Coturnix japonica: one gene and its partner. The protein of the gene in region 1 interacts with the protein of each later gene in a pairwise test. Links are inferred from orthologs where the notes say so. Each region holds a gene or a part of one and is shown on either strand. Other genes may lie near its edges.

Evidence for each region.
Region 2: the proteins of UBA3 (region 1) and IMPA2 interact in binary tests that used the Homo sapiens proteins (3 or more experiments, as listed by UniProt). The two-hybrid records come from large-scale screens. The link is inferred for Coturnix japonica from reciprocal best matches to the Homo sapiens genes UBA3 and IMPA2.

The regions. Positions count from the first base shown.
Region 1 is NC_029527.1:12,733,253-12,749,461, reverse strand, and holds the start of UBA3 (NEDD8-activating enzyme E1 catalytic subunit), read left to right. Parts: upstream 1-5,976; 5' UTR 5,977-6,040; coding exon 6,041-6,060; exon of another isoform or gene 6,061-6,073; coding exon of another isoform or gene 6,074-6,075; intron 6,076-6,197; coding exon 6,198-6,239; intron 6,240-8,691; coding exon 8,692-8,812; intron 8,813-9,777; coding exon 9,778-9,858; intron 9,859-12,385; coding exon 12,386-12,468; intron 12,469-12,962; coding exon 12,963-13,043; intron 13,044-13,673; coding exon 13,674-13,717; intron 13,718-14,011; coding exon 14,012-14,076; intron 14,077-14,862; coding exon 14,863-15,018; intron 15,019-15,148; coding exon 15,149-15,251; intron 15,252-15,738; coding exon 15,739-15,852; intron 15,853-16,209. Other genes in the region: ARL6IP5 (PRA1 family protein 3), read right to left, coding at 5,052-5,227. UniProt on the Homo sapiens protein: Catalytic subunit of the dimeric UBA3-NAE1 E1 enzyme. E1 activates NEDD8 by first adenylating its C-terminal glycine residue with ATP, thereafter linking this residue to the side chain of the catalytic cysteine, yielding a NEDD8-UBA3 thioester and free AMP.
Region 2 is NC_029517.1:87,668,250-87,683,930, reverse strand, and holds the start of IMPA2 (inositol monophosphatase 2), read left to right. Parts: upstream 1-1,831; 5' UTR 1,832-1,963; coding exon 1,964-2,068; intron 2,069-7,054; coding exon 7,055-7,188; intron 7,189-11,581; coding exon 11,582-11,686; intron 11,687-13,021; coding exon 13,022-13,067; intron 13,068-15,465; coding exon 15,466-15,574; intron 15,575-15,681. UniProt on the Homo sapiens protein: Phosphatase that can use myo-inositol monophosphates, myo-inositol 1,4-diphosphate, scyllo-inositol-1,4-diphosphate, glucose-1-phosphate, beta-glycerophosphate and 2'-AMP as substrates in vitro.

The DNA of each region.
Region 1 (16,209 bases):
CTGCAATGCCAGAGAGCATTTCCCTAGAGAACAAAGAACCCCCAGAATGATTTCAGAGCCTGGCTCTAGACTCTGTAAGTCAGTTGCGCCAACAGGAGACAGGACAACTGGATAAAAAGAGATTAGAATCCAAACTAGCTCCCCACCTGCTTCTGCTACTCATGCTGAAGAGCCAGCATGGCTATTTGGAAATGGCGATAGGGCAGACTCGCTTGTTGCATCTGAGTCACTCCCTGCAGCCAGCCAGATTATATTTAGCTCTGAATTGTCAATCCTAAGTTTCCAGGCTGGAAAAAGTGAACAGTACTGCTCTGGAAAGAAATCAGCTTCATCTGTGTTCTATTGTAGCCAAAGGAGGGTGACTCGTGACTGCACCACGCTAGTATCCTGTTTATATACATACAACTGGACATATGAGATTCTTAAAGAAGAAATCATCTCGGCATCACTGTTAGCTTGGAGTAGAAATGGCCAGACTTACTTACAGCAATCCTTGGTTTTATTCCCAAAAAGTCACTGAAAAAATAATCCTGGAAGGAACAAAGAGCCAGGCAGAGCTCCATGCTACATTTTCCAGGTGTCAGGTAAATACTCCCAAGGCTTTATCTTCCCCATCCTCCCTCTCATTCTCATTACAGCTGCTGAAACTGCTGGTGAAAACCCTGTGCTTGTAAGGAAAAGACAGACCCTTCTGCTTTATGCTCTTTCTGTTATTATGTGGGATCTGTTTTACTGACTTGCTGTCAGGGATGTGAAGGAAAAAAAAAATACATTCAAAAGATCCCTTTTTCTTGGGGAGAGTTAATTGAATTACATGTTTTCTCAAGTGGGCTGCATTCCAATGCTTACAAGGAAACAGTGAACATAAGTATCAAATGAAGTCATTCAGAGCCACATGAAAACAGATGGGGGATAGCAGTTGCCACTAAAAACTGGTATTCAGATTATCAGCCATGTGTCCACAGGCTTCAGTATCGTTGATTACAGTACTGGATAGGGTGTCACATGCCAAGCTCCCTCCACTGTTTGAATCACCACAAGAGCAAAGTTCTCCTAGATATTTATATATAGATATCTATTCTCCAGCAATGGCATTTTTTTTTCAGCGGGTCAGCTCTCCATTATGCAGTTTCATTCAGAGCTGCTGGCACACTTCTCTCAGCAGCACGACAGCTAGAGACTAAACAGGAACTAAAAACACAGGCACAGTTTTTAGAACACATATCTGGGGGAAAATGAGAGCTGTATAGCAACACTGAAAGTCCTTTCATAGCTGAGCCATCAGCACTGATATTAGCCACATTTATAGACAGAACAGAACACAACATAAAGAATTAATGGTTGGGAAATAGGCTGGGAGTCTTTCAAAGCTGCTGAGACAAGGTAAGTGGCCAGCCATTAAGTATGTAATAAGATACTTTCTAAAAATAATTCTCTTCAGGAGGGATTTGTAAGACCTCTCAAATACTTAAAAATGTAATGCATGGAACTATTAGCATGGCAGAGTTGTGGTAACTTGATTTTGGGCTGCTCAGATATCTTAAGGGAAGAAATACTCTTTGGGTGCTGAGGAAGAGAACTGCTCTCTCTCACTACATTGAATGGAGTCAGTATGGCAGGGCTGAGCAACATTTGGTGTGCAAACAACCTCGAGCTCAGAGCCCTCTAAAGGGATGCTCTACTTTATTGCTCCCTCTGGAAGACAAGATGCAGCCCTGGTTGGATGCTGCAGCCTCCAAAGCAGCAGTGACCAACTGGCAATGAAAAATGTCACCTGGATTTAGTGCTACCGGTGTCTCAGGGCAACAGTAAGCACCTTCAGTTACTTGTCTGCTACTGTAATTACTTTTATACAGAGGAAAAAGAGGGGTAAAAATAAGAACAATTAGAAGAAACATTCTTTCTGGCTGCAGGAGGGCGCCTTGGGATACTGTATCAGTTGGAAGCTGTACCAGAAGATAGCAGAGGGGCTGGGGTTACAATGGTGTGGGAGGAGTACTGGTAACTATGTAACTCTGACAGCAAAAGCAGATATTTCTTTAGTTTCCCGCATTCAGCCTTCTAGCAGGAGAGAGAACCACAACCACCGGCCTGGAGAATTCACAGCTACAGCATAGGGAGAAAGAACTAAGCAAGACTCGTCTTTTGCTCAAGGCAGAAAACCTCCAGCAGTGTGAGCCCAGAAATCAACACACCTTGGAAGCAGTAAGCAGGCGAGAGCAGATACCTGCTGCCTTCCTCATTTGTTTTAATTGAAACAACGTGGAGACCAAGTTCGGCTTCTCCACTCCCCATACTTCTGGGTTCAGTGAGGTTATACAGCAAACCTGAAGGTAGAGTGTAAACCCATGAATGGCATGTTGTCCTCTGATTTGTCACTAACAAATCTGTGCACAGCCAGGCAACAGAGCACAGCAGCCACAGATTTAGCAAGGCTCCTTTACATACTGATTCTCACTCAGGCTGCTTTCAGAACAGGAGTTGGGAGTTCTTTCCACAGAATGGCTGTGCCTTTATGAAGGTTTTTGTATGTTTGTTTTTAAACTGAAGTTTTTATCCACTTCATGAAGTTATGTAGCATTACGTTGCAGCAGTGAGTTTTGGAGCAGTGTGTTGCATGCTTCTGAATATTTCATCAGGCATTACAGAAACTACTAATGAGTATTTTGCTGCTCTGCGATCCTTGCTCTCTCAAGGGAATTAACTACAAGCAAGTCAGCCAAGACAGTGATCTGGGGAGGAAAGGAAATAAAGAATTAAAAGAAAAACAAAAGAAAAAGACACCCATGCACTTCATTGCAGGTGCTATGCAGATGGCCAGTAGATGTTTAAATAAGCAGGGTGCAAAAGGAAAGCAACACTGAACTTCAGGCTGCAGAGAAGACACTGTGCCAAAGCATGTGCCTCCCACAGTGACAGGCCCTAGCTCAGAGTAAGAAAGGCCCTCACTCACAGTAAGGTACTCCATGCCATAAAGAGATGTGGAGATGGTGATATGTTGAAGAGGTCAACTCTGTTGTCCAGGAGGCAGTAAATTATGCCACAGCAATAAGCACCATTGCCCAGAGATTTCTTGATACTGTAAGTACAATTTCCATCTCAGCCCAGCATTACCACAGCTACCACGCTATTATAGTAGTCAAAATATCATCTCTGCATCTAATGCCTGTCTGCATAATTAAGGTGGCTTAAGAACAGGTAGAGTTGGTCATGGGCAAAGTTTAGTTTTGATCACAGAGACCACTGCATTATTGGTTTCAGTAATCCTGCCTGTAGGCCTACATGCAGTCCTGGAGTTCCTAAAAAGCCATGATTCATCACTTATCACCCAAGGATTCCTGCCCACTAGAGGGTGAAGTGCAAGATTGCATCTTAGACATCAATGTAAATTTAATTGGGACACCTTTCTTGGCTTTTCTCCCAAAGCTACAGCTCGGCCAACAGAAAAATCTTTTATTAAAAAGAAATGGATAGCTTTTCTTTATTGAAGTGCTAGCCTGTTTCCTTTAGAGTTCTTCTCCCATTCTTCTTCAGTGTTGAAGAAGCAGGTCTGCCACATACAAAAGGCTCTAAAATGTGCAATAAAACAAATTCACTCCAGGTTTTTCTTGCCTGTATATTTTCAACATAGCAGGTTACTATTTAATATAAATACATTAGAATTACAATTCTGGTATTAATCTCTGCCTTTTGTGGCTCTCCTCCCTACCACCACCTCAGCAAAACGGTGGGAAATAAATGGTAATGTATCACCACCCTTGATCTGATGTGAGATCAGAGAATAAAAGGGGGAAGGAATGTAGGAGTAAAAGCTGCTACCATTCCAATTTTCCAATTGAGGATAACTAAATTGTTCATTTTTTTTTTCCTCCCAGCTTTTTGGGGTAGATGAGTTGTTCTCCTGCCTTCAAGTGTTGCTTTAATTTACCTGCTTATTTAGAACTGGTTATGGTAATCACACTACTAAATGAAGGTAGATAGAGAAGATTAGACTCCCTCTAAAGAGAGTAAGGGTCTGGAAATCTCTTTTTACTTGTCTAATGATCTGCTGCTGGGTTGAGTAGAGGGCTCAGATCTCCACCAAAATTCAGAAGAAAATCTCCCATGCCCCTTAGCTGATATGCAGCAAAAAATAGGGAAAAAGCAGGGTTCTCAGCTTCTCCTTTCACAAAGCACGGGACAAAACTCCCTGATCCCAAAGATTCTTCACTGACTCAGACACTGGGTCAATAACGTCAGCAGCCCTAAAAAGTTACAGATTGCTTCACACACTCACACACACACATACACAAAAGGATAGGGCGAAGAACTTAAGCCTCTGCAACACATATGATAAAATATACTTCTGCCATAACCACTTTGGCCTAGTGGCCAGGCAATCCTCCGGTTTAAGCATTTGCACATTGTTTGGTGACGAGCGTAGGAAACGTATTTCATTTTCCATTTTAAAAGCTTAATCATCACAGCCTCTGCTGCAACTCCTGACAAAGAGCTTCTTGATCTTAAAGCAGCACTTACAGAAGAGTCAAACAGGCTTTAATTCTAATAATGATTAGGTTCTTTCCCAATTCTCCCTAGGGAATCTACAGCTGACATGAGACACGAAGGTCTCGGTCTCACAAAGATGGATGGGTACCGTGCTTATTTTATATTGAAGGCTTTTCAATCTGCACTAGGTCAGAAATAAGAAAGGCTTGTTCTGTCCCCTCAGCGTAGGCTTAAAGATGTAACAGAGAGCAGAATTTATCTCCTCATTTGTTGGAATTCAGAGTGAAGTTTATCTCCCCTTGACAGCCACACTGGGCAGACTAAGGCAGGAAGCAGCGATCGCCGCAGAGCAGACAGTGACATCCGGCACCCACACCCACCGCTGCTTTCTGCCAGGCACCCCGAGAAACAAAAGGCAGCTCCCAGATTTGCCACCCAGCCACAAGAGGAATTAAAAACCACGTCAAAATAACCTTCTAAATAAGCCAGCCCCCACCCAACACAAAGCAAGGGCGGCTGTACGTTTGGGAGTATCAGCCCCACCGCCCCCCCCGCACACTGACCCTACGATGGCGACGACGGCGGCGGCCACCATCAGGTAGTTGGTCTGGTAGTAGAGCAGGTTGTTGACAACCCGGTTGTTCCATTTCGAGATGTCCTTGAAATCGGGCCGGGCGAAACGATCGGAACCAGGGAAGAAATCCTCCCAGGAGCGCAGAGGAGCCACCTGCACCTCCATGGCTGCTGCCCCCGCCCCACCGCCGCGCAGGCCTCGGGCTTCGTGGTACCGCCCCGGGGCGGCTCCGGGCAGCGGGGAAATGGGAAAGGAGAGGCCGGCACGTAGATCTCCGCGTACCCGGCACTGTACGGTGCTTTCGTCACCGGCGGTTGTACGTTCTGTTCGCTCGTTCTACACAAATGTCACGCCGAATCCGGATTGCATCCCCGGCAATGAGGCTGGTGGGGCTTCTACAGCCTCGGGTCACACTGAGGTGGATGCACCCCGAATCCTCCATCCTCCAACCGCAGTGTCTGTGATGATTCTAACTTCTCACGTTAGGACATTTTCAGTGTTTTTACGCTTCATTTATCGTGGCTTGAGCACACATGCCTGATGCAGGTGTGGCTGTAACGTCTGGGGCTTGTGGCAGCTTCTCAATCTACGAAGTATTCGCGTTCCTCAGGGTGCATTCAGGAGCCTGAGGCCATGATCACGATCTCTATGAGCGCTGCACGGTCTGTTTCCCACCTCCCAGCTCCAGCAGCGCTCCTCGCTCTGCATATAGACAGACCCCTGTGTGCAGTGCAGCTCTATGCGCTCCCATGGGAAGACAACAGAAAATACTTGAGAGAGGAGCTGACACGACAGAGCTGGCTGATGGAGGCATGTCTAAAGCTATCTCTATGTTTGCCTTTACCCTATGTTGTGTATCACACACAGAAGCCCTAAGGAATCATCCCCCCCTGCCCCCATAGCACCGCCCATGATGGCGCCGCGCATGGCAGGAGCCCGGCGGCGAGCGGGGCACTGTGGGAAGCAGAGGGAAAAAATATGGCGGATGGTGAGGAACCGTAAGTGCCTTGTATGTGCGTGCTCGGCAGCCCCTTCCCCACGCTTCCCGGGGACGGGTGGGCCCTGGGGTCCCCTCTCCTTCCTCCCCGGTCTGTGTAGCGCGATACTGACCCTTCTTTTATTCTCTCTCTTTTAGGGAGAAGAAAAGAAGGAGGCTAGAGGAGCTGCTGGCGGATGGGTTAGTGCGGGGCTGCGGGCGAGTGGGCTCCCGGCCCAGGGTAGAGACAGGGACAGAGATAGAAGCAGGCAGCGCTTGTGGAAGGGCGGCTGGCAGTGAGGGGAGCCGCAGCCCCGCAGAGAGGTTGGGCTGTGCTGTGAAGGCCGCAGAGATGGGTCCTGGGAGCAGAAAGATTGAGGGGGTGAGAGAGAGCCAGGGGAAGGTGAAAGGGCGCTTGAGCAGCAAGGACTGGGGGAGAGGAATCTCCTGGGGAGAGGACCGAGGGGCTCACCCGCAGCAGGGGGTGGGTTGCGGGCTTGAAGCTTGGCATGATGAAGGCTGGTGTGCTGAGAGCTTTGTGGCAGGAGTGGGAGAGCTGCTGCTGGCCAGGACTTGGCAGAGCTGCTAGGCTAGGAGCAGGTGATTCAAAACTAGCCCAAAGTGAATATTTCAGTCTACAGAGCAGCTGCTTCTGCTTCTTAAAGCTCTAAATTCTGCTCAGCCTTAAAAACTAACATGCAGAAATCTCTGACCTCATATGCTTCCATCCCTTGACTGTTCCCCTCCATCTCCTTGTGGCCCTCTTCCCAAAGCTCCCAGAGCCGTGCTGGGGTGAGGGTCACAGAAACCCCGAGGCATGTGGGTTGTGGGGTGCATGCCACATCCTGCACAAGCATGGAGCATTTGGGTGTGCGAAGGTGGCAGGGAAAAGTGTGGGCCTAGAAGGGTTGTGGTGCTCTGATGTTTTGAACAAGATCTAAAATTCACTGAAACACATGCAAGTTTTGTTGAATTCTAATAATGTGAATGCCTGGTTGTGCTGTAACAACACAAGAATAAACGTGTCTCTAAAGCTAAACGTAACACCTCATGTTGAGTTGCTGGTGTTTTTCAGGTCTCCACAATGTCCAACTCTGTAAAAACCAAGCTAATATATTCGCAAAATTGAGACGAGGTCTTGCCATCTTACCACTAAAAAGAAAAATAAACATCTAAACAGACAACTACAGCTGCTTGGTGGCTGTTTATACTGCCTGAAAAGAAGGATTAAAGAATCCTTTGTAGTATCACCAGACTTAACTTCTGCACTTCTTTCCAGAACAAGATAAAATCCATACAAGCAATTATTGTGCTTTATAATCACCCATGTTACATTTGCAGAAGTTATTGTTTCATAAACATCCTATTTTAAAACAGCTGAGACTGTGATTCAGTGGAGGAAGAGTTTTATGTTGTCCTGCTTTCCTAAAATCTTACTTTGATGCAAAGTGGGAAACACAGGATACAGATCAAAATATCCTCTATGTACTTAAGCTCCTTATGAAGAATTTATTTAACTGCTAGGTTAACCTATGTAAAGCCAACAGTTGACCAGGATGGAGTTCAATCAGCGGTCAAAGTACAGGCAGAATCCAATATGTTTATTGTTGTTTTTCAGTTAAGTTTTTTCTCCCATTACTGAAAACCTTTTGCAAAACTATGACCTAGAAGTTAATGCCATCACAGACGCTGTTCTGTCTCCATCTGAATTCTGTGAGGATCAAGAGATTCACTGTCTAGATGTGACCCAAGGAAGTAATACATTCTAAACATTGATCAACAATTATTGATATAGACTTTCTTCATATTTCTTCATAGGAGGAACCAAATAATGCTTCTTATCGATGATGATCCAACCTTTCTAAGCTCATTTATAACCAGCTTAGTTTTGTATTAACATAGAGCAAACAGTCATTTGTATTCATGTGTGGAGCTCATACTTAAAAAGGGAGGTGTGCTGTGTTAAGGAAAGGCTTGTTCCTTGTAGGTGCTGTTACATTAGGAAATTATTTAAGTGAGCTGATTTTGAGCTTTTCTAGTAAGTCTTTTAACAGTTTAATTTTATAGTTGTGTACTACTAAAAGTGACCTGCAAAAGGTACTGGGAATACTTCGTGTAAAATTCTGTATCTGTAATTTAGAAGAAGAAAACTGCAAGTTTATTTTTCAAGTTAGATAGTAACTACTAACAGGCTCAGGAGACAGGTGGAAAATGAGAGTGTCTTAAATACATGGGACTCATGGCAGGTGAAGATTGTTCACTTTGTTGAGGGAACAGCACCCTCAAAATCTAAAGGGCAGCCTCTTTTTACATGCTCTCTTAAAATGTGAGGGAAATAAAAGGGAAAAGAGCTCACCCTTTTCGTTTCTCTTCAGATCAACTTTTACTAGTAGCAGCAAAATCAGTGGGATTTATTGAAATGCCAGTTTTTGTCTGCTGCATGTTTGTATTACTGCTTACTGGGGCCACTGATGAAGCCCACTCCTGCAGATGTGGGCTTACACGTGTTTGTGATCAACATAAACATGTGGATCCGTTTGCATGGCTGATCAGTGTTTTACTTTTAACCTATACAAGAAAAAAAAAGAGCACGTTTTAGAAGTGTGGCTATTTCTGTATGGTTTTGCAGCTGAATTTACTGTGTTCTGTGCAGAATGGCTGTTGATGGTGGGTATGGGGACTCTGGAGACTGGGAAGGTCGCTGGAACCATGTAAAGAAGTTCCTCGAGCGATCTGGACCGTTCACACATCCTGATTTCGAGCCAGGCACTCAAGTGAGAAACAATTACTTTAAATTAAGAAACAACTGTATTGTGTGTTGGAAACTAATGTCAGTGGTTTCATTAATTGACTACCAGCAGTATATGAACAGTAAACCTATGTGAAGACCATGTATTTCAATTGGTGAATGTGATTATATTAGAAGAGTGTGTCATATTCTTTTCATATACTTTTATTTCTAGATTGTAAACTGTCAACTTGCTGGCATGTGTAGAAATGTATTCTATGATACACAGTAATAATTATTCTCCATCTTTGAGTTTCACATGAAAAATAGTGTTAGTCTATTGATTTTTAAACAATTAGGCACAGTAAAGAATTCCTTGTACTTAAGAAATTAAACTTAATATGAGTACTTGGAGAATTGGGATATTCCATAGGGAAAAGCAAAATTTTGCCTCTCTGAATTTTCTTCTCCTTTCATTGCTTTGGTACCTTTTGTTTCAAAGCTTAAAGTTGAATGTGTTTAACCTTTTAAATGTACCATTCCATTATATGCTACTTTGACTATAGAGTCTAATAATGTAGTTAATAGAAAAAAAACTATGTGGCCAGCAATGTTTTCTATCTGTTTATTTTGTATTATATGTAAGCAAGCTGCTTGGGGGAAAAACACTAAACTGAAATGTGTCCTTAAACTGAGTAATAATAAAATGGAGCTTGCTTTTCTTTTTTCACAGCCAAATTAATTCAAAGAGAATACTGATAGCAAACAGACTCGCTTTCCTTTAAGTAGAGATACAGGAATTACATGAACTTAACAACTGATTAAAGTCCAAGTATAATTATTCCTGCAAGCTTAAACTATGTTATTGATCTAACTTATTTTATATGAAGCTTATTGTGCACTGAAAATTTATGATGACACAATTGTAAGGTGTATGAAACAAAGGACAAATGGTACCTTTTCCTATATGATGTATTAATTGTTTGTTTGTTTGTTTTATATTTTCCACAGGCTCTTGAATTTCTTTTAAGCACGTGTAAAGTACTAGTTATTGGAGCAGGAGGGTTAGGATGTGAACTCCTGAAGAACCTGGTAATTACTCAGTTTTCATCCTTTTCTTGTGATCTTAGTTACTCCTTGAAATGAGCTTGAAGGGTGGTAGTGTAAGGTGTACTTATTTTCTTTGAGCTCTCTCAGTGTTTCTCCTGAGGAGCAGTGTGCTGCTGTGTATGAAGTGCAGGAAAATGTTTATTTACAGCCTTAGGTAGGGCCTAATATTGGGTATTTTCCCCACAGAATCACACAGAATCACAGAATGACCCGGGTTGGAGGGGACCTCAAGGATCATGTAGTTCCAACCCCCCTGCCTGGCAGGGCCACCAAACATACACGTTTACTAGATCAGGTTGCCCAGGGCCCCGTCCAACCTGGTCTTGAACACCTCCAAGGACGGGGCATCCACAACCTCCCTGGGCAGCCTGTTCCAGGGCCTAACCACTCTCCTAGTGAAGAACTTCCCCCTAACATCCAACCTAAATCTTCCCTCTTTTAACTTAAAACCATTTCCCCTAGTCCTGCTATTATCAGCCCTTTTGAAGAGTTTACTCCCCTCCTGGGAGTAAGTTCCCTTCAGGTATTGAAAGGCTGCAATGAGGTCACCCCGCAACCTTCTCTTCTCTAGGCTGAACAAACCCAACTCCCTCAGCCTTCCCCCAATTATGAGATCCTGGGAAATGAACTATACAAAGAGTGGCTAATAGAGAGTTTATCATTAGCAGCCAAAGATTAACTTAATTTTTTATGTGTTTGGATTAATGCAAAGAGAGGCTGGAAATGCTGGACCTATGATCTTTAAAAATGAAAGTAATAGAGCCAGTCTTACTGTGCCTGTGGTGACCTCCTCCTCATTGTTGGAATCCAGAGAGTAGTGGCTCTCAGTAAACATGAGCTTCTCTCCAGAGACTCAACAAGAATCTTTAGGACTCTTTCAGGATTGCATCAGTGCTGCTGAATTCAGCCTGTGTAAAAAGCTTCTTTATTCCATCAGACCAACATGCGCTATCCTATATGGAAGTGGCTAAGGAGGAATAGGTGTGAGACCAAAGAAAATACACTGCAGAGTTACTGTACTCTTCTTGACAGCAGTGCTAGCTTGTAATGGATTCTCTACAAGCTCTGAGAAGCAGTTTTTAAGTGTTTAAAAATGCAGCCATGGGATAGTGTGCTATCTGACATTTACCCAATAAGTATGTATGAGTTTAATTTTTCTATTACTCTATTTTCTTCCTCATGGCCTTTCTTATTTGTTGTAATGTATCGCTTACCATCACTTAGTTTGGACTAAGTTTCTGTAATTCACCTGCTTCCTTCAACAGTAAAAACTTCTGTCCTTACAGTTTGTTTACATGGAAAATGTGTGGTTTGATATAGCAAATTGTTACAAAGTACAGTTTCTATATGAGCAATTATGAGTTGATTCATTTTAGTATGGTTTTTATTTACTGCTATTTCACTACACTACAGATTACCTGCAAGCTTGAGGTGCTGGATAAATCATTCACCTCATGTGAAGTCAGGCATTCCAGATAAGTTAACTTAGGGTTTTGAGTTCCAGCACTTGTGAGTAATATTATTCTGGCACCGCTTTGTTACCGTTCTACTTAAGCAGGATTTTGCTTGAAGAGACTGAAAACTACATAGCAGTTTTCTTTCTTTGAAAATGTAGTGCTGGTAAACTAAACTTCTGACTAGAGCTGCTGTATTGTAGGCTTATTGGAGAAGAACAAATTCACTCTGTTGCTAATTATGAGGAAGGACTTGTGTTAAGGGTTTTCATAAATCTGCCATGTATGCCCAGTCTCCACCTTTCCAAAAGATTTTAAGTTATTGTGATTTACTTTTATAATTTTCAGAAAGAAATGCTCATACTTAAGTCTAGATGATGTTCACGTGTACTCAGTGTCTTTGAAACACCAGTAAAAATATCTTAAGGGCTCCAGTGTGTCTGTTCCTCATGTTTTGGGCCCACTCTTCTCTTTGTTAGGCTCTTCTGATCTGCTTTGATAATACTGGGCAAAAACTGAACTGTGATTTGTGAACTAAATGAGTGTTCAGCACTAAAGATACGCAATATGACATACAGAAATTCTTACTGCTTTTCTTCCAGAGGCTACTTTCTGTTCATTTGTTTAATCAGTTTCACAGTGCAGCATTTAATGCAGTTATTACACATGGGATGTAGAAAAAGCATCAAACAAGAAGTTTGAAGTTTTTTATGTGACAAGATTGAGTCTTTATAGAAAGAAAAAAAAAAGGGGGGTGGGGGGGGAGTAGAGCATGGGACTCAATTTTTTATGTCACTTCAGAACACTGCAAAGCGTTTCCCTTCTCTAAAGCCAGTGCTTTGACAACTGAAATGTTGCTAATTCCATCTGTCCAAATACCAGCGTTAGCAACCCAGCATTTCAACAAAGAGAGCTGACATGCTGATCTGCACAGGGAACAAAGAACACCTACATTTGTTCCTCCAAAGGTTGCCTTTTTGGCATTCAGAATGAATCTTGCAGCACTGTAAGCTTTTCATTGCTTATGTAGTGAGGTTGCCTATCTCTTTTCACAGGCACTGTCTGGTTTTAGGCAGATCCATGTAATTGACATGGATACTATAGATGTGTCCAACCTTAACCGACAGTTTCTGTTTCGGTAAGTGTTATTTTCATTGTTCATTCTTTGTATCTAAACAATACGTGTGAATACAATCACTATTTTGCTGGACGAAATGTCATTGAAGGTTTCTGAACTTCCACATCACAATAGTAAAATAGTACTTACAGTTAGCTACATGTTAGGCGTGATTTTTTTTTTTTCCTGAGATCTGTGTTGTTAGTGACTGGAGAAGATAGAGACACCAAAGTATAACTCATCCAAATAGAGATAGCAGTTTTTCTGTTCCCTTTCTTTTAATCGGATCTATGTGTGTCTGTGTGTGTGGGTGTGCTGATAACAGCTGTTTCAGGGATGGACTGTGATAACTCTGGGGCTCTCACATCTAATGCTTTACAGAAATGTCTTAATATTATCCGTATCAATAAGTTGTCCCATTGTAATAATTAGTCACTTAATTCAGTATTTGTAAATAAACTCTTAAAAGACTGAATGTTACAAATTAATCCATTTATAATTCCTTTTTTTTCCAGACCGAAAGATGTTGGGCGACCGAAAGCAGAAGTTGCAGCAGAATTCCTTAACAGTCGCATCCCCGACTGTGCTGTTGTAGCGTATCCTTTTAGAGTGAAGTAGCCCCAGAGACTTCAAAAAGCCTAGAAAGCTCTGTAGGTGGTAAGAGTATCTGAAATATTTTGCTGCAGTCCTTTTTTTTCTATACAATAAAGAACAGATTCATTGAGCTGATGGTTGAGAATTCTTTCCCAGAGTGGCTTTGACATGCAGTAAATATGCATGGGGAAACAAGCCTAAGCTTTAAGAAACTGTTCTGCATGTTTCCACTTAGTCTTTTTATTCAAAGTAGATATTCTTATTTTCACTGGAATGTTAGAATTATGCGTTTATTCACCAGAGGGTTTTGAGTATACGGTGGTAAGACTTGTTCATTTACAAACATAGAGCAGCACAGCTGAGGTAGGACTTTGTAAGAGCACATGTTTTGAGCTTCCTGAGTAGTGTTCTCTTCGGAGCTTTCTCCTGTGTGTGAATGTGACATTGTGTATCTTATTTGTTTTACCACTTGCTACAGCTGTAAGAACTTAGAATATTCTGGCCACTTAGTTTTAAAAGAAAGCCTCGTATAAAATGATGGATTATATCATGCTTTGGCTTTAGATCAACAAATAGAAAACAATAAAATCAACTACATTATAAATATATTCCTTTATTGTGCTTACATTCAGATATTTTAAAAAGATTCAAGACATGGATGAAAGCTTTTATCGACGTAAGTGGCATTTGTTTGCATGCCAGACACCACTGGTGCTTCAGGGGAACACTGTGGTTGGTTTTTGCTGTTTTCATGCTAGCTAGATTGCTAATTATTTTAGACTTCTACAGTGTGCTGAGTGTGGACTGACTGTTACAGGGGTAACATAGATAAAACTTAAATGTATCTGTCTCCATAGTGACCTAGGAAAAGTGGTTAAACTACAGTCAGTTTCTCTGGAATAGAATACTTTGGTTGTCTTAAGAAGTATGCACTAGTGTGGACTTTAAATATCACTTTTTTCCCCCCTAGAGTTTCATATTATTGTTTGTGGGCTGGACTCTATAATTGCAAGAAGGTGGATAAATGGCATGCTGGTAAAGTATTATATTTTCTTAAAGCCTGGTTGTTGCTTGAGTATATGTAGCTAAAATTGATGAGCTTCACATAGAATATATCATTAAAATGAAATAAGGGCTGTTGAAACCCACAGCTGTGTGTATCCTTTTCTGCTTCACTGTTGTTGTGAAAAGGGTAAAGTCTGTGCTCTCACCTGCCTTATTCTTGAGGAGTGTTAGTCAACATTTGTGCAATGCCTTGGAGGTGTTACTTCAAAATTACAGCATTTAACTGGGATGCTGTTTAGTTGGGCTTTGAAAATCATACTATGGAAGTTCCACAGCTTCTCTGGATGCTACCATTGTGATTTTTTGTCTTTCGTTGGTTAAGTACTTGCATTTCTCCAACTTGTAAAAGTTGTCTTTTGTAGCCCCGCTGCTATAAAACACTGGGCATTAAACTAAGTATTTTCATCACTGTAAATCCATTTTAAAAGGAGTCACTATTTACCATTATTAAACCAAACAAGAATTAAAAAAAAAAAAAAAAGAGAGAAGAAAAAAGAAAACAAATCCTTCAAACTAACCAACCAATTCTTCTGGATTACCGTAGGGAAATAATAGCACTTGCTGTGTGTTTGTATGTAGAGGTGGGTTAAGATGGTAGATAAAAGTCTTGTGCCCCAACAAATAAAGTGTTCGATGGACTTAAAATAGCCCATATACTAAGTCTTATTTCATACCATTAAGAATAAAATTACCGATTTTTTCCTGCAAGTTGTAAAATCAAACAAAACCACAGCAGAGTCCACTTTTGTTCGTTAGATGTCGTTTTTACGTTATGAAGATGGTGTACTGGATCCAAGTTCCATCATACCTTTAATAGATGGAGGGACAGAAGGTTTCAAAGGAAATGCTCGCGTGATTATACCTGGTATGACAGCATGTGTTGAATGCACACTTGAACTTTATCCACCACAGGTAATTAGCGTGGATGTTTCCTTTTTGTATACGTATTCCATTTGCTGGTTTGATTCTTTCTTTTCCAAGTACTATATGTAGTAGATTAAATCCTTCTTTTCTGTTTTTCTCCCCATCCCTGACCACTCAGGTCAATTTTCCCATGTGTACTATTGCATCTATGCCCAGACTACCAGAGCACTGTATTGAGTATGTCAGGATATTGCAGTGGCCGAAGGAGCAACCTTTTGGAGGTAATTATTATGTTGCATTGACACTAAGGTAATATTTCTAATTTCTGCAGTTTTGTTTTGAGTTCAGTGTACACACCTACAGTCTGACCTTCTAACCAATGTGATGTGCTGTACTGTGGAAATTGGGCCTTCTCTGAGATGGTGATAAATCTTTCTCTTCTCAGACTCGCCCTCCAGTCCATTATTTGTTCATAGGTATTGACAGGTGTCTGTTTCTCCTGCTGTACAGTATCTTTCCTGACTCAGAACGCAGCACGTAACCACTCCACAAACCTGTGAAATTAAGACAGATTGCACATAAAATGTGTTAAGTATGGCTATAGAAATCATATTTTGATTATTTGAAGTGCCAAAGTGTCAAGCTTTGATATTTAAATGGAGTACTATTTTTTACACAAATTTAAAACAAAGGATGGATTTAGGCAAAAAATAATGCTGCATTTCTGAAGAGGTTTTATAACTGTAACTTGTCTGTGAATTGCTGCAGAAGGTGTTGCTTTGGACGGAGATGATCCTGAACATATACAGTGGATTTACCAGAAGTCTTTGGAAAGAGCATCACAATTTAATATTAAAGGTGTTACATACAGACTCACCCAAGGTAAGGATATGACACTTTGTTAATTAATGCGGGTATCCTGGATTGGCATTCTTTGCATTTATTGAAGCTAAGCTGGCAACTGTTCTGGGAAAGAAATAGTTCTCTTTTTCCCTTAACATCTTACAACAGAAACAAGCAACTCATCTCCTGTGCCAGCACAAATATTTTATGATGAATCAGACGTTTAGATGTTTGTGATGAATCATAGGAACTTAATCTGGGACAAAGCTGAACATTCTTTTTGACATCTTATTTTTAACCTGGAGCAACTACACAATTTCCATTACACTGTTACCACGTTTGCTGGATCAGAAAGTAGGAGAATGTGATTTGTCCCTTTTAGCAACAGCAGCAGTT
Region 2 (15,681 bases), on another chromosome or scaffold:
GGCGTGTGAGAGGAACTGGCTAGCACTAAGGGTTATGAAAGATCAGAGGTTACGAAAGACCTTGGCAGCCATGAAAGGTGAGCCCAGAGCCTGAGCCAGCAGGCAAAGAACAACTGCAGCGTGCCCCAAACCACGCAACTGCGAGAGCAACTGGCAGCTCACAGCAGCAAGAAGCTCCTACTGCTTGCAGGCTTGGGCTAAAGGAAGCCTGAAAAAGCTTCAGAACGGGAGTAATAAAACAGCCATCAGCAAATAGCAGCCTTCTTTATAAAGCTTACAGGAAACTATCGTTTTTTGCAGTGTATTTTGTAAGGTTTTAAAACACTAGCTGCAGTCAGTGATTTCCTAAGTGCTCCTCTTGGCTCTTCAGTTCTGTTTTCCAGTGCTTCACCACAATTGAGATGAGTTTGCAAGTTCTGAGGGTTCATTCAGTTGCTATTTCAGCCTTCTGTGATGGCTCATACAGCAGCTTAACCACAGCAAGCCTCCAAATGCTGTAGCGGCTCTGAGACATGAGGAGAAGCTACCAAAGCTCAGGCTACTTTTATGACATCTCACTGGTCTATTCACTTACCATCCTAGCACATCTCTCCCAGCAAGGTCACTTGGCGAGTCACTTGGAAAAGCCTCACTTGGGCTGACACAAGTGGAAGATCCAAATGCTCACCTGGTACTGTAAATATGAAGGACAGGATACCCTACTGCATAAGCACACATCCATCATGGGTCATATTTCTCTATAAGGAAGATTTAGAATCACTCAAACATCTGTAAAGCCCCTGAATACCTTCAGGAACAGTGACTCCAACATCTCCTTGGGCAGCCTGTTCCAGTGCCACACGACTCTTCTGGAGTAGAATTTTTATTTCCTAATACGCACCTTGAACCTCCCTGGCACAACTTGAGGCCTTTCACAACCTCTTGTTCTCTTGCTAGTTACCTGGGAGTAGAGGCTGAACCCCACCTCACTATAGCCGCATTTCAGGTTGTTTTAGAGAGCAATAAAGCCTCCCCTGAACTTCCTTTTCTCCAGACAGAACAATCCCAGTTCCCTCAGCCGCTCCCTGTACTTGTCTGGACTCTGCTCCAGACCCCTCACAGCTTCACTGCCCTTATCTGGACACATTCCAGGGCCTCAATGTCTTTCTTGTAGTGAGGGACCCAAAACTGAGCCCAGCACTTGAGGTGCTCACTGCTGAGTACAGAGGAATGATCACTCCCTGCTCCTGCTGGCTGCGCTATTTCTGATACAAGCCAGGATGCCATTGGCACAATGCTTATGTTCAGCTAACACCCCCAGATCCTTTTCCTCAGTACAGGGTTCCATCCCTAAGCCTCTAGCAATGCACAGGGTTGCTGTGACCAAAGGGCAGGCCTGGCACTACTGGCCTCAGCCCACCACTCCAGCCTGTTCAGATGTAGCTCCTCACTAAGGATTACACACTTTCTCACACAGCAGCCAACCCATATAGGCGGGCCAGAGCAGCACAATCCCATGCAGCACACACACACTCCCTGCTTGCCTGGGGCCGCACAGCCCGGCCGATGTGCGGCTGGCAGCCCACTAGGCCCGGTTTTCACACAGCACAGCGGCCCGCTCCGAGCACTGCCAGCCCCGCAGCGGCCATGTCGGGCGGGTCGGATCAGGGCAGACCGGGCCAGCAACCTCGCCACCGCCTTTCGCCCTACTTGCCGCTCTCATCCACACCACCCCCGGCCCCTCATCCGCCCCCGGGGCTCACCTAAAATTAGCGCCAGGCCGCCGCGACCAGCCCTCCCCATCGAGCGCGGCGGCCTCCGTTCCCTCCTCCCAGTCCTCCCCGCGGGGCGGTGCCGGGGCTCCGAGTGACAGCGGCAGCCTCGGCCCGGCCTCCCTCCCGCCCTCCTCCTCCGCGCCGTTCCTCGGCGGGCAGCCGGCCTCCGACCCCGGCCCTACCCGGGCAGCGGAGCCACCGCCACCGCGATGAAACCCCGCGGGGAGGAGGAAGAAGAGGGGGCGGCGGGTGGCGGAGACCCCTGGAAGGAGTGCGCGGAGGTGGCGGTGCAGCTGGCGCTCCGTGCCGGGCAGGTGAGGGCCGCCCCCCGCCGCCCCCCGCGGTGTGGGGAGCGCTACACACCCGCGGGGCTTCGTCGCTGTGGGACGGGGCCGAAAAGGGCCGGGAAGGGGCGGTGGGGTGGGCCAGGGCTGCTCCGCTGCCGTAGCATCCTTCCCGGGCGGCTGCGGAGGTGCGCTTTGGGGTTAGGCGTTAAAAAAGGCAGAGCCGGAGGTTGCGGGCTGAGGGAGGGCTGTGTGGGCGCTCGGCGGGCGCTATCTGAGCTCTCTCAGCCCCGGGGCGGTGTGGGGGGAACCCGGGGGCCGTGCGCGGTCACCTCGGGCTGAGAACAGCCGGGGCGGCCCTGTGTGGCTCCCCGCACTTGTACGTATTTAAAAAATAATAATAATTAAAACAAATCTTGCCGCTTTAGTAACTTTTCCAGTCGAACGCCAAGCACTTATTCTTGCGGCTGTGGCGTTTCGGAGCGTGGTGTGATGCTAAGGCTGAATGCTGAGTGTATGTTCAGCTGAGGCTGTGTGCCGTGGTGTGCTTATGCTGACTGCCGTGCATTACTCTACCACCATTTGGGTTTGAGCAGTTTGCATGCAGAAGAAAATAGCTATGCCAGAGAGGTTGCATCTAACTGTTGTACCGGTGCCCTCAGAGGGACTGAAACTCACTGACCAGGGCAGCCCAGCAGAGGCTTTGCTGTGTTTCATTACAGCAGGCAGTCACTCACCTCAGGAGAGGCCCTGTGTTCCACTCTTCCCTGGCTCTAACAGAGCTGTGTGCTGCAGCAGAATTTCCCCAGCTCTAACAGAGCCCAGAAGTGGGGTCAGCGAGCTGCTCAGAGGAAAAACTGGGTAGAACATGAAGCTCAGCAGCGTGCGTTTCTCTTCTGCTTCCATTCTGCTGTGTTTTGTACCTACGCGCTGTTATTTAAGGAGCTCCATTTTCATCTTGAGGCCAGGACCTGTAATGCTTCCTTAGCATGTGTCATTAAACACGTTTTCCCGCTCACAGAACACACATGCGCGCACACTGGGATGAACAGAACGCCAGGAGAGAGGAGACTTGTTTTAGTAACACAAGGAGTAAATGGATGATCCAAATCGGGATGACAGGCTGTGCTCTCACAGGATCTGAGGGGAGTTCCCCAGCATGCTGGTTCTGCCAGCCATTTCACAAGAGAGCTCCTCATGGCTTGCTCGAGCCTCTGCACCTTATTTATCAAAATACCAAATGCTGGGAATAGCCAGGACTGCTTTGCTGACCTGGAAAATCACAGTGGTTGATGTTTGCATCATTTTCATTTGCGCTTTGATACTGCTACCTTGCAATTGGCAGCACAGTATATTATTAAAGTGTCATTCCAGTTCCTGCTACTCCCAAAAGAAATTAGAGATAAGGATAGAAAGTGGGGTGTAACTTAGATTTTATGGGGTTAGATTTACTATCTTTTTCTTTTGTTTCTCTTCCTGTCCCTCACACCTCTGCCTTCACTAGAGATCCATTTGCACTGTTTCCCCAGAGCTCAGTGCTGTCTCCATCCATCTCTGCATGCAATTTTCCCATTTCAGCCTTTCTTTTGAGACCCTCATTTTCTGGAATCCAATGCAAGTTAGGAAGGTTTCTAGTTAGCCCCGTCCCTGGAGGTGTTCAAGACCAGGTTGGACGGGGCCCTGGGCAACCTGATCTAGTAAATGTGTATGTTTGGTGGCCCTGCCAGGCAGGGGGGTTGGAACTACGTGATCCTTGAAGTCCCTTCCAACCCAGGTCATTCTGTGATTCTGTGATAGTTAGAAAGTGTCTTTGAGAGTCTTGATGTAGAGGCCAACTCAAAGAAAAGCATGCAAGTCAGAAATTGGGGTTTAGAGAAAAAGTCAACCAGCAAGATGGTTTCCTGCTCTCTTCTTTTTTGCTTATGTGACTGTTGGGTTTGTATTGTTCAGGAGTGGAAGTAAAATGTATCTTCCTTCAAGGCTCTGGAAAACTTCTTTCTAAGCTGTATAGGCCAATAAATAGGTGATTGCCTGAATGTGCTTCAGAAGTGATGTTGTTGGAGTAACTTCCATTCCCAGGCTGAGGTTATTGTTTCTTTTTCCCATCCTGTTACTAAGTTCCATTATTCTTATGAAATGTACCAGGCATTCCTTTAATATAAATGGCTATTTCACAAAGACAGTAGCCAAGGTTTTGTAATGTCTGTAATTGGCCTGTGTTAAAATTATGTCTAATCCACTCTTATGCCACACAGAACTGGATTTTTTTCATCCTCCTCCTGCTTTTTTGTGTGAGTAAACTCTTGTGAGAAGTACGCCTGTCTGCTTACCATGACTTGCTGCTAAAGAGAAGCAAATACCAGTTTCTGAACCCCAGATGCTATTCTAAGCACTGGGTAATATTTGCACAGTTCTCTGCAATTACGACTGGAGAAATTTCACCAAAGTCAGTACATCCCCAGGGAGGTGGTTGAATCGCCATCCCTGGTTGTGTTTAAGAGCCGTTTGGATGTGGTGCTCAGGGATATGATTTAGTGTAGGGTTGTTAGAGTTAGGGTTCTGGTTAGGCTGCGGTTGGACTTGATGATCTTCAAGGTCTTTTCCAGCCTGGGTAATTCTATGATTCTATGATCTGCAGAAAGGTGTAAAGAAGGGGGAGAAAATGAAATGAGAAGCTGATGTGTTAAAGCCCACCGGTATTCTGGGGAAGTTGTTTTCTTACTTAGAAAATAATTCTATGAGAGACCCGGAAGAATCTCACTTTAATAAAAAAAAAGAGGAGGGAGGGGGTGCAAAATTTCCAAACATTCTTCCCTATTTTTGCTTTTAGGCTATTTTCTAAGGAGCATTGATTTTTTTTTCTAGCCAAACAGGTGGTTATTTCATAAATTATATGCAGGTAGTTATACTTTCTATCTAGACATTTGGTTTTACCTGTGAGCAAATATTTCAGGACATTATTGCAAGCAAGTAATTCTGTCTTGGAGCTCCCAGAAGAGTGTGCTGAGTATAAGTAGAACAGTGGGATGAGATCTGTAATGTGAGCACCCTGTGTAGGTGGTTGTCCTGGCAGGTGTGCTTGAAAAGGCATTTGGGCCTTCTGTCCTTTCCATTCTCTGTTGCATGATTTAATCATAGAATCATTAAGATTGGAAAAGACCTCTAAAATGACTTAGTCCAACCATCAGCCCGTCACACCGTGGCCACTAACCACGTCTCTCAGTGCCACATCCACGCTGTTCTTGAACGCATCCAGAGACAGTGCCTCCCCCACCCACTTCCCTGGGCAGCCTGTGCCACTGCCTCACCACTTCTTTCAGGTCACAGAGTAATAAGGTATCCCCTGAACCTCCTTTTCTCCAGGCTGAACGATCCCTGTTCTCTCAGCTGCCCCCCTCCCCCATAAGGCTTGTGCTCCAAAGCCTTAATATTTCAAAGGTGCTAGGAAAGGCAGAGTCCAGCAACACATTTACTCACAGGCAATATAAAAGAGGAGGGATGAAAATGAAAAGCGTGAGCATAGCAGGTTTCTTAGGGAGGTTACACAACACAGCTGAGACAGTTGCAGCACTTTGGATTTTGCTTTGGACTGAAGAGCAGCCTGAGGGCTTTCTTAAAGTGGTGCTTCTGCAGTGATGTGGTTAAAGCACCGAGAAAAACATGCGCGGCATTGAGAGAATTAAAATAAATAAAATATTTTGGTGTACAATAATGAACGTCAGCAAGAGTTTGAAGCAAAATGTTCACATCTATCTTCATCGGTTTGGATAAATAGTTAGAATTAAGGCTTTACAGCTCATGAAGCAGAAACAGTCCGTTTGCCAAGTCCATGCTAAAGCAGCAGTCAGTAAAGTCAGTTACATGTCAGAACCATCTGAAGCTCCTTCATATGTGGTATTTTAGACTACAAAACCCAAGAGCTGAGAGTGAGATTAGGGAGTTCCTGGTTTCCTTTCCTGTATGTAATACAAGCAAAACTGTTTTGGTCCTAAAACACGTCTTTTTAGGTAGCTTTAAAATACGTTGATCCGTGGAAATGTAACTAAAGAAATCAGTGTTGTAGAAGGGATGTGGGATATTGGTTTTCTTGTTGCTGTTTTTCATTTAATGTAACTGTGTAGAAATAAACAGTGCTTAATCTTTGCTTTGCTTTGGCTTTCCTAATTTCAAAGAGTTTATAGTTGTCACCGGTTAAAAAACAAGGCAGCTCCTTTTGCTAGTTGAGCATTATCGCCCCTCCTCCCTTCCTTCTCTCTCTGTTTGTTTATTAAATAAAGAGGTTAAGGGAAGAAAAAAGAGAGAAAGAAAATGGGAAAACTGAGGAAACATTTTTATTTACTGTGTTCCCATACGTGCATTTGCTACTGATGTGATTTAATTCTGAGCTTATAGCAGTAAAACCCTTTAAAAGGAGATTAAGATTTTTCCAGAGTTAGATCATTGGTGCCATATCTGAGGAGAAGCCTAAATCTTTGTTTTTGTTATGTACACAGCAATTCTTTGGGACTAATGGGTGCTCAGCACTTGGACATTCAAACAGTCTTACACACGAGAAAAATTAAATATTATGTCTTTGTTGGCAAAAAGAAAACGGTGGAGTTTGATTTACTGTATAGTTTTTAAGGTAAGAGAGCAGTGAGTTATTGGCCTTGTAAATCTATATATGTATATTTAGGGAAAAAAAATGTCTTTCTGTGAAAATTTATGGGCCTCAAGATTCTTTCTAATCTTAGATGTGTTTTCTGTAATTTCCTACATCACAGCGACTGCCATCATCCTTTTACGAATCCTTAATCCCTTTCTGAACTGTCAAGAGAGGCTCCTGCAAATGCCGTGTTCCAAAAGGCTGCTCATTATCTCCAAAGGATTTTTACTCAGAAGAGCTAGAATAGGTTCTGGTATAATTAGACCCGTGATTGTTTTTCAGGATTAGCTATAATTGCGTTAGTAATTATATCACATTAGTGTCCACAGGATAAATGGCAATGAAGACTGATCTATGAACTTCTCTTTCAGATTATTAGGAAAGCTCTAACAGAAGAAAAACAAGTGTCCACGAAGACATCTGCAGCAGATCTTGTCACCGAGACTGATCATTTTGTGGAAAATTTGATTATTTCTGTTCTGAAAGAGAAATTTCCCTCCCACAGGTAAGTATCTGTAGAAGAAAACAATGAATGACCATTTTTCCTATAAAAGCTGTATATCAGACAAGCATTTAAGGGGAATTTTAAGATTCTGTCCTTGAAGGTCAGATTGTGATTTGATTGTGATTGACCTCATTGCAGCCTTTCAATACCTGAAGGGAAACTCCCAGGAGGGGAGTGAACTCTTCGAAAGGGCTGACAATAGCAGGACACGGGGAAATGGTTTTAAGTTGAAAGAGGGAAGATTTAGGTTGGATGTTAGGGGGAAGTTCTTCACTAGGAGAGTGGTTAGGCCCTGGAACAGGCTGCCCAGGGAGGTTGTGGATGCCCCGTCCTTGGAGGTGTTCAAGACCAGGTTGGACGGGGCCCTGGGCAACCTGATCTAGTAAAGGTGTATGTTTGGTGGCCCTGCCAGGCAGGGGGGTTGGAACTACATGATCCTTGAGGTCCCTTCCAACCCGGGTCATTCTGTGATTCTGTGATTGCTAAACTGTTTTTAAAAAGTCAGTTTGAAATTACCTCTTCATAGCACATGCACAGATGAGAAAGCAGTTTTGTATTACTTGGTCAGGTTTGGCTCGATGCAGACGCTGCCATTGATTTTCATAATTGACTTTGGTACACAGGCCTAAAATCCATCTGCCTGCAGAGCCTATGTATCACTTGATTGCTACATGACTTCCTTCTAACTGTGTACATCTCTAATGGAGAAGAGCCTTGCGCTCTAGTACTGTGCAGAAATCAACAAAGATGAGAATCTAGAGGGTTCAGCTACTAATCTGCTTGTTGGCTCTGCTGTTGTAAGAAAATAACAAGAAGTAAAAAGGAAAGAATGAATAGAAAGAACATTATATACTAAATATGGCTTTCTGAATTCATGGTGTATGTGATCACATATCGAAACAGTACTGTACAGCACAATGTGTGGTTCTTGGCTGCGATTCTCTGGAGAGTGCCAGGCTTTACAAGCCTATTATTTCTGTAATATTCCATCTACTGTTGCTGGCAGTGCTCTTCTTTCTTCTGCACGGTTTGTTGTTTCTTCTTTCCTTGAACTGCCTGGCAGAGAACATAAAACATACACATTTTGCATGAAACTGGAATCAACAGTAGCGCTCAAGTTACTCAAAATGGAAACAAAAGTTATAAGGTCAAAGCAGACCAAGAAACAGAAAATAATCTAACTTTTACTAACTCTGTGCAACATTGTTCTGACTCCAGAAGCAAATAAAGGGCTTGCTATGGGCAAATAAAGGAATTGCTGTTTCTTCAAGGCAGTTCATTTTTGCTGATAGTGGTGGTTGTTTTTGTTTGGAGTTTGTTCAGACAGCGAATGCATTTAGATTAAACAGTAGATTAGAACTAGATTTAGAAGACTAAATTTAGATACTTGCAACGAGGAATCCACAGAAGGAATCAAGGTTTAAATTGAAGTACAGTGAAAACATCAAGAGATCACTTAAACTATTCAGTCTTTCCCTAATCCAGCTGTTGAAAGCACCAATGAAAGTTTCTGTTGATTCTCCTTATAGAGTCATCCTTCCCTTAAGTTATCTTGATTCTTATGTTCTCTGACTCGAGAAATATATCCTGGGAGTTAAAAAACCTGGAAGAGATCCTGTTGAAATTTATACCATTTTTGCTATGGCAGTGATACATCCCAGTATGTTGGAAATGTACTCAGGAGTAGAGAAGTGTTAAGAAAACCTGTTAAAAATGTGATTCTATCCTATATTTCTTTGTTTTGTCTCCGCTTCGCCAAGGGACATGTATCATTCTCATTTATGCTTCAACCAAGTTTTCTTCTTTGCTCTCATTCTCTTTGGCGCTCTGAAATGCTCCAAGGAAATATTCCCAAATGTTTATTTTTTTTTCTGGTAGATCTTCATAGGACAGATAGGCAGAGCTAGAATATCATGGACTGCTGGCTGAAAAATGTTATTGTGTCATTTGCCCGTGTTATTGTTACACAAGCTGTCATCTTTGGTGTCAATTGTGGCCTTAATCCTGGAGCTGTTCCAGTCAGAACTTGGACATCCAACCCTGTCTACCAGCATTTTGCCCTCAGACCCTATTCCCATAGGGGCAGCTCCAGTTTGAGCCTTCAATGTTCCAATGGATATTGCCCCTTTTGTACTGTGCTACAGCTTCCCTGCTGTTCCAGCACTGAATTTCACAGTGGCTTTGAGGCGCAAACAGATGTCCACTAAGGCTAGGATAAAATTACCAGACTCATTTTCCGTGGGAGAAAACTTTAATCCAGATTTGAACAGAGGTCAAAAGAGCTGAAAGGCTGGCAAGTTAAATTAACTACTGTAATAACATTGCTACCCCTCCCACTTCTTAAACTATGCCTAACATTTGGAATTTAGGACTTCAGCCTGAATGTTTTACTCTGTTTGTGTGTTCTTACAGGACACAGATCTATAGAGCAATACATCTGATGTTAGCCTTTAGGAACAATCACAGTACCCAGTATTGCGTAGCAGCAACTGGTTTATTTTACCTGCTAGCAAAAATTTCATAAAGTTCGACACGAATGTGCAGAAGAACTTCTTTACTGTGAGGGTGACGGAGCACTGGAACAGGCTGCCCAGGGAGGTGGTGGAATCTCCTTCTCTGGAGATATTCAAGACCCACCTGGACGCCTACCTGTGTGACGTGGTGTAGGGAGCCTGCTTTGGCACGGGGGTTGGACTCGATGATCTCTGGAGGTCCCTTCCAACCCCTACAATTCTGTGATTCTGTGTGCACCTAATTTGTCCAGCAGCCATAATGGAAAATTGACCTTGTACACGAGTACTTAGAAGTGGTACTGCTGTACCCTAGCTTCATGTTAGGGCTTTGTACTTGAGGACTGCAACATCATAGTCCACTGTAGGGGAAAGGGAAGGGACAGACTTGTCACCCAGATACATAAGGATAAAGCACCTTATAGAAATACACTTGTTTTTCAAGAGTATCCCATTTCACCTTCCTTTTGACTGGCAAGACAGTGATTACAATGAAGGATCTGTCCGAGGTAGAAACAGAGGCATGATTTGTGCGTGATAGAGGACCAGCTTCCACATCGTCCATTTGCAGGAAGATGGGTTTTATCTGCAGCCAGGAGTGCTGCCTGAGCTTACGGTGGGGGTTAAAAATGGTTGTATGTTAAAAAATATCAATGAGACAAAACAATGGAATACAGAGAGCAAGGAATCTGTAACGTGCTGTGTTTGACTGAGAACACTTGTTTAAGTTTTTTCTGGCTTTCTAGTTGCACACTAACAATTAAAGTGTCCCTCAGCTGTTCTCTTTAATGGAGATTGAAATAGCAACAAACACTTGCTGCTTCCCTTCTTATATCAGATGGGGGTCCATAATGCCATCAAAATAGTCCCTTTCTTCTGAGGAAAAGGCAAAATAGCACATGGAAATTTCAAGAACTCTCCATATGTGCCATTTACAGGATGTTTGAAGCTCATTCTTGCAACTTTATGTAGCAAGTGTGAAACCAAAAGCGAGATTCAGTGTTAGCAGTCTAATTCTACACATTCTGTATATATAGAACTATATTCAAATCTGTGAGAGTAGCAACCTGCACAGCTCTTACAAAAACAGGCACTGAGTTTGTGGGAGAGCAAGGATACTTAAGGTCAGCAGGAAATACTCCAGAACTGGATGTTCATTTCCCAGGGAAGAAAGATTTAAAAAAAAAAAGCATTGATATGAAAGAAATGGGGAAAGAAGATGAGCTCAAATTTCAGTGTGTGACTTGTGCATACAAAAAAAAATAATAATAAATAAAATGTTTTAAAAAATGTATTTTCTCTGGGTCATGGGAAGAAGAAAGTTCAACTGTGCAAACTTTTTAATTTCCTGGTTCTGACTACTTTAAAAAGAGTCTAATAGGAGTCAGGTTGTGGATTCTTGGGAGTTCATTACTTCCTGCTGACTGAATTTAACTGCAGTGAGAAGCAGCTACGTTTTGAAGTTTATATTACTTATTGCAAGAGACAGACCTCAACCATAAATTTACGTTCTACAGAGAAACCTCCTTTAGAGTTCCAGGAGTGCCAATTTAGATCAATTTCTGCATTAATTTTCATTACTTTTTTAATAGCGTATTAAGAAAAATGTGAATGGAGTTCTTTTTTACCACATGAAATAGTATGCTAAGAAGTCAAGAACTTTCATTTAAAGTTTATCTGAAAGCTTCCCATTCTCAATTAAAAAACGAAACATGTCTGTATTATGTATATATTAATTTTATATATATATGAGCATGTGTATATAACATTCGTATGTATTTATAAACTAAATACTTCTTCAAAAGACAGCAAGATGGAGTTAAACTTACTGAGTCGCATGTTTGAGCAAGTTTTCTGAGACTTTTATTCCCCATTCAATGCAGGTTTATTGCAGAAGAATCCACTGCTGCTGGTTCCAAATGTGTCCTCACTGACAGTCCTACCTGGATTATTGACCCTGTTGATGGAACCTGCAATTTCGTACACAGGTAAGTTGGCAGGGGAGTGAGAAACACATAAAATGACAAAATTCAGCTTCTCACAAATCCTCCCTTCTTTTTGAAGGCATTTTACTGTGGTAAATTTGTTCCTCTGACACGTAAGTAGGAGTCATCCCTCTGTTGTTTTATGCTTTATCTATGGGAGTGTGTGTTTGTGCTGGAGAGAGCACTGTACTGTTTTCTAAAGGCAAGATAATATGTCTTCTGATTGCTTAATGACCTAGAAGCTCTTGACTCACAGCTCCTTTATATATAATACACATTAACATGTAGAGACTTGAGCTGAACCAAAGAAACAAGGCTGTACTATGATGACATTTGGCCTTACTCTGTATGTGGTTGTTATGCATTCCTTTTTGTAGTGGTGTGTTCTCCCTTTCAAATACAAGTGCTTCATTTTTCCTGGGAAGTACAGTCATGGCATATGAAAACTAGGCTGTATTTAGTTGAAAACTAGGCTAAAGGTAGATGGTGGTTTAAGTCTCCTGTAATACTGCCCTGTAAAAATAAGAAACCTAGGGATCATTTATGCAAAAATAAGAAAGTTTTTCTTCCTCGTTTGAGTGGTAGGAGTTGTAAACCTATGATTGTTTGTAATACTTCTACTTAAAAAACTGAATTATATTCTGCTTTAAAGTTAGTAGTTTAATGTAACTGTGGTTATAATTTGAGGGGGGAAAGAAAAAGCATTTATCTTCTGGTGTCATTGTATAGAATTCAAGTGGGGAAGGAAGGGGAGGTTATATGCTGCTGTTTGATGCAAGTTTTTTCTTTCTAGCAATATTTTCTGGATCTTCATAACCCTTTCTGAAATATGTTTGAATAAATAAATTTATTTCATTATTTAAAGAACAATAACACATGTTTAAAAGGAGTAAATTAAATACATGACCATCACTTTGGCAAAAGAGAGGGAAGGGGAACAGGTTTCTTCTTATGCTGATGTCAGCAGAAGGTATCTTTTTGCAACTTAATCCTACCTCACCTTCTCAGTTCACTGGAACAAAATGTGTTCTTAAAAACCAATGACTTGCTATAGAAGCACTGGACAATTCAATTAAACTGAAGCAAAAATATTATTAAAATATACAACACATTTAGTATAAAGATCCTAATGTCTTTAAGTATTTACTTCTTGCATTTTCAAACATTAGATCAGTTTTTAAACTGACCTGTCTCTTGGACTGACGAAGGAGAAATAGCATAATATCAGAGCTTTTTTGGTACTGAGCTCCAGGTGGGGTTTTGTTGCTCAAGTGAGCTACATAATTATGAAGCTGAGAGAACTTTCATCAGTAATACTTCATTTCTTGTTTTTCACAGATTTCCAACAGTGGCAGTGAGCATTGGATTTGCTGTTAACAAAGAGGTATGAAGTTTGTTATTTAGGATGGATACCTGAGATTTGGTTAAAAGCCTCAAAACCAAGTGGGAAATTAAAAAATAAATCCAACATTGCTCAAGCTTTCCCATGCTTTTAAAATACATTTGGTCATACTCTGCTAGCTTAAAATCCCAGTCTTGCGAAACTTCACTTATGCAAACTGGCATTTACAGGAAAATTCTTATAAATCATTATAAATGTTACAGGATTTATGTGACTAAAAAGGAAGTGCTGGTGTAAGGAAGGTTCCATAAGACAAAAGCCTGATAAGTTATATATATTCATAATTTAACCCTATCTTCCAGTGTTCTTCTGTTGATTATGATTGCTTCTTTCCTGCTAGCAGTATCTGTGAACACTAACTGCTACTATAAGGCAATTTGGAACTGCTTTCTATGAAGAGAGCAAAATTATGGGCCTAGATCACTTTATCTGCCTTTGAAGTTTTCATAATGCAGTAAAATGACTGTATTTCCCTCATGAGAGCTTGATTACAGGCGGGGGGGGAAAAAAAAGTACCTAGTCTTCATATTTGTTGTCCTTTTTAAGTTTCCTAGATCATGGAATCAATCATGGAAAAGGTTGGAAAGACCACTAAGATCATCTAGTCCAACCATGTACTCATTCACGCTGGTGGCTTTTCTCCAGATGTTGCCATTTTACAGTTTGATATAAACTGAAGAAATAGCTATTCAAATTGCCAAGAAATGTACCTCTTCCAGCCTATGTCCACAATCTCAAATAAATATATCGTTGTAACTGAAGTCAGCAAGAATCCTGTGCAATAATAACATAGTTTTGAGATGTGCTAGCAGCGCTTATGGATTCAAACAGAATAATGTTGTGTACTTCTTTGGTTAGACTTTTCAAACATGGCAACTGTGAAGAAACACTTCCATACTTTTCTGAAGTTTATTCATTCCCAGAGGTCCTTTTGAATACTATGTATTGTTACCAGACAGTGTTCTCTAATATTTATGTTTTCTAGAACACCACCGTGATTTTGATGCTGCATATTTTGGGTTACGTAAACTAAACAAAGCTGAAACAAAAATAAAGAATGATGTTAAAACTCCCTCTATAAACAAATGGGAAAAACAGAAACAAAAAATGAGTAAGCTGAAAAGGAGCCAAAGTACGCACAGGGGAACTGGCCTGAATGTAAGCCTTGAACAGCACTGAGGAAATTCTTGTAGATGTCTTCAGGGAAGGAGTCTATTAATAGTGTCCCTCAAAAAAAATAAAAATCTTTGGTTTACATGGGACCTCAGGGTAAGGAGCAAGGACAGACTATAGATTATTCCCTTTGAATTGTCCCTGAGGAGGGACCAGAGATTACTCACTTGAATGGAGGAGGGTGGCAGGAAAAGATTTGTGGTCTAAAACATCTGAGATGTTTCCTTGGTCTTGTTACCAACTTCTGTGACCCTGGGCAAGTCACTTAGTGCTTGTGTATCTGTCTACTTCTAAATAGAATGTAGCCAGTAGTACTTATCTAGGGTTGATTATAGGAGCTGACCATTTAAGTCTGTAAAATCCTTCAAGATCTTTTGATGAAATCTATTAAAATAATTAAATACATTGGGTTTAAATCAAGGTTCAAATTGGGGCCCTCTTCTCATTGGTGAAGTGATATTCCCAGAAAGAATCCAGTGTTAATTACTCTCAAGCCTTCACTGAGAGATTTGACAAAGAATATTTGATATTTTACTTCAAACCCCTTTTGAGTCTCGTGATTTCATGAAACTCTCACTTTTATGTTTAAAGAAAACAATTTTGTAGAGAGACATTTTAAAAAGTGACCGTAGGGCACTTCTTTGGTTGAAAAGGCAGGCAAATTAAATGCCCATGAAAGGTGAAATGCAAATAAAAGTATCTATTGTTAGTGAACTGTGTACCCTGACTTCTGAGTTCATATGCCTGACTGATCATGTCTGTGTATTTGGGGTTGCAAATTTTTGGGGTCCAGAAAAAGTTAATGGACTTCTTCTAGGCATAACTGCTCGACAGTGGGAAAAAAACCAAAGCTTTCAGAATCTGGCTGTAAAGAACTTATGCTTATTTTCAGTAGAAACATTTTATTGAATTTGAAATCAGCTTAGCATTTAATCTATTGTAATGTGAACGCAAATAAGATGCAAGTAAGAGTTTAGAAGATCATGAACAGATTTCATTGACTTCTCTTTGTAAACTGAATTTTATATGACCTATATCTCAAATATAACAGTAATAGTAAAATTATTCCAGTTTATTAGCATCAGTATAATCTTTGATTACCTGTACCAATTAAAATATTGCTGATCTTTCTGCCATTAGTAGTTGTTTATATTTATGATGAGTAATTTGAGTTGCATTCATTTCTTTCCTTTTCAAAATCTTAAAGCTTGAATTTGGTGTAATTTACCACTGCACTGAAGAACGATTATACACTGGTAGAAGAGGTCAAGGGGCATTTTGTAATGACAAAAGGCTTCAGGTATCAAAAGAGACAGGTTGGTCTAGATTTTGTTAGAACTCTAAAAGGAATATGTTAATTTTGTTTCAGAGTTGTTGCAAATCATCATTAGGATAATGAACATCATTATCCTGATGGAAGGTA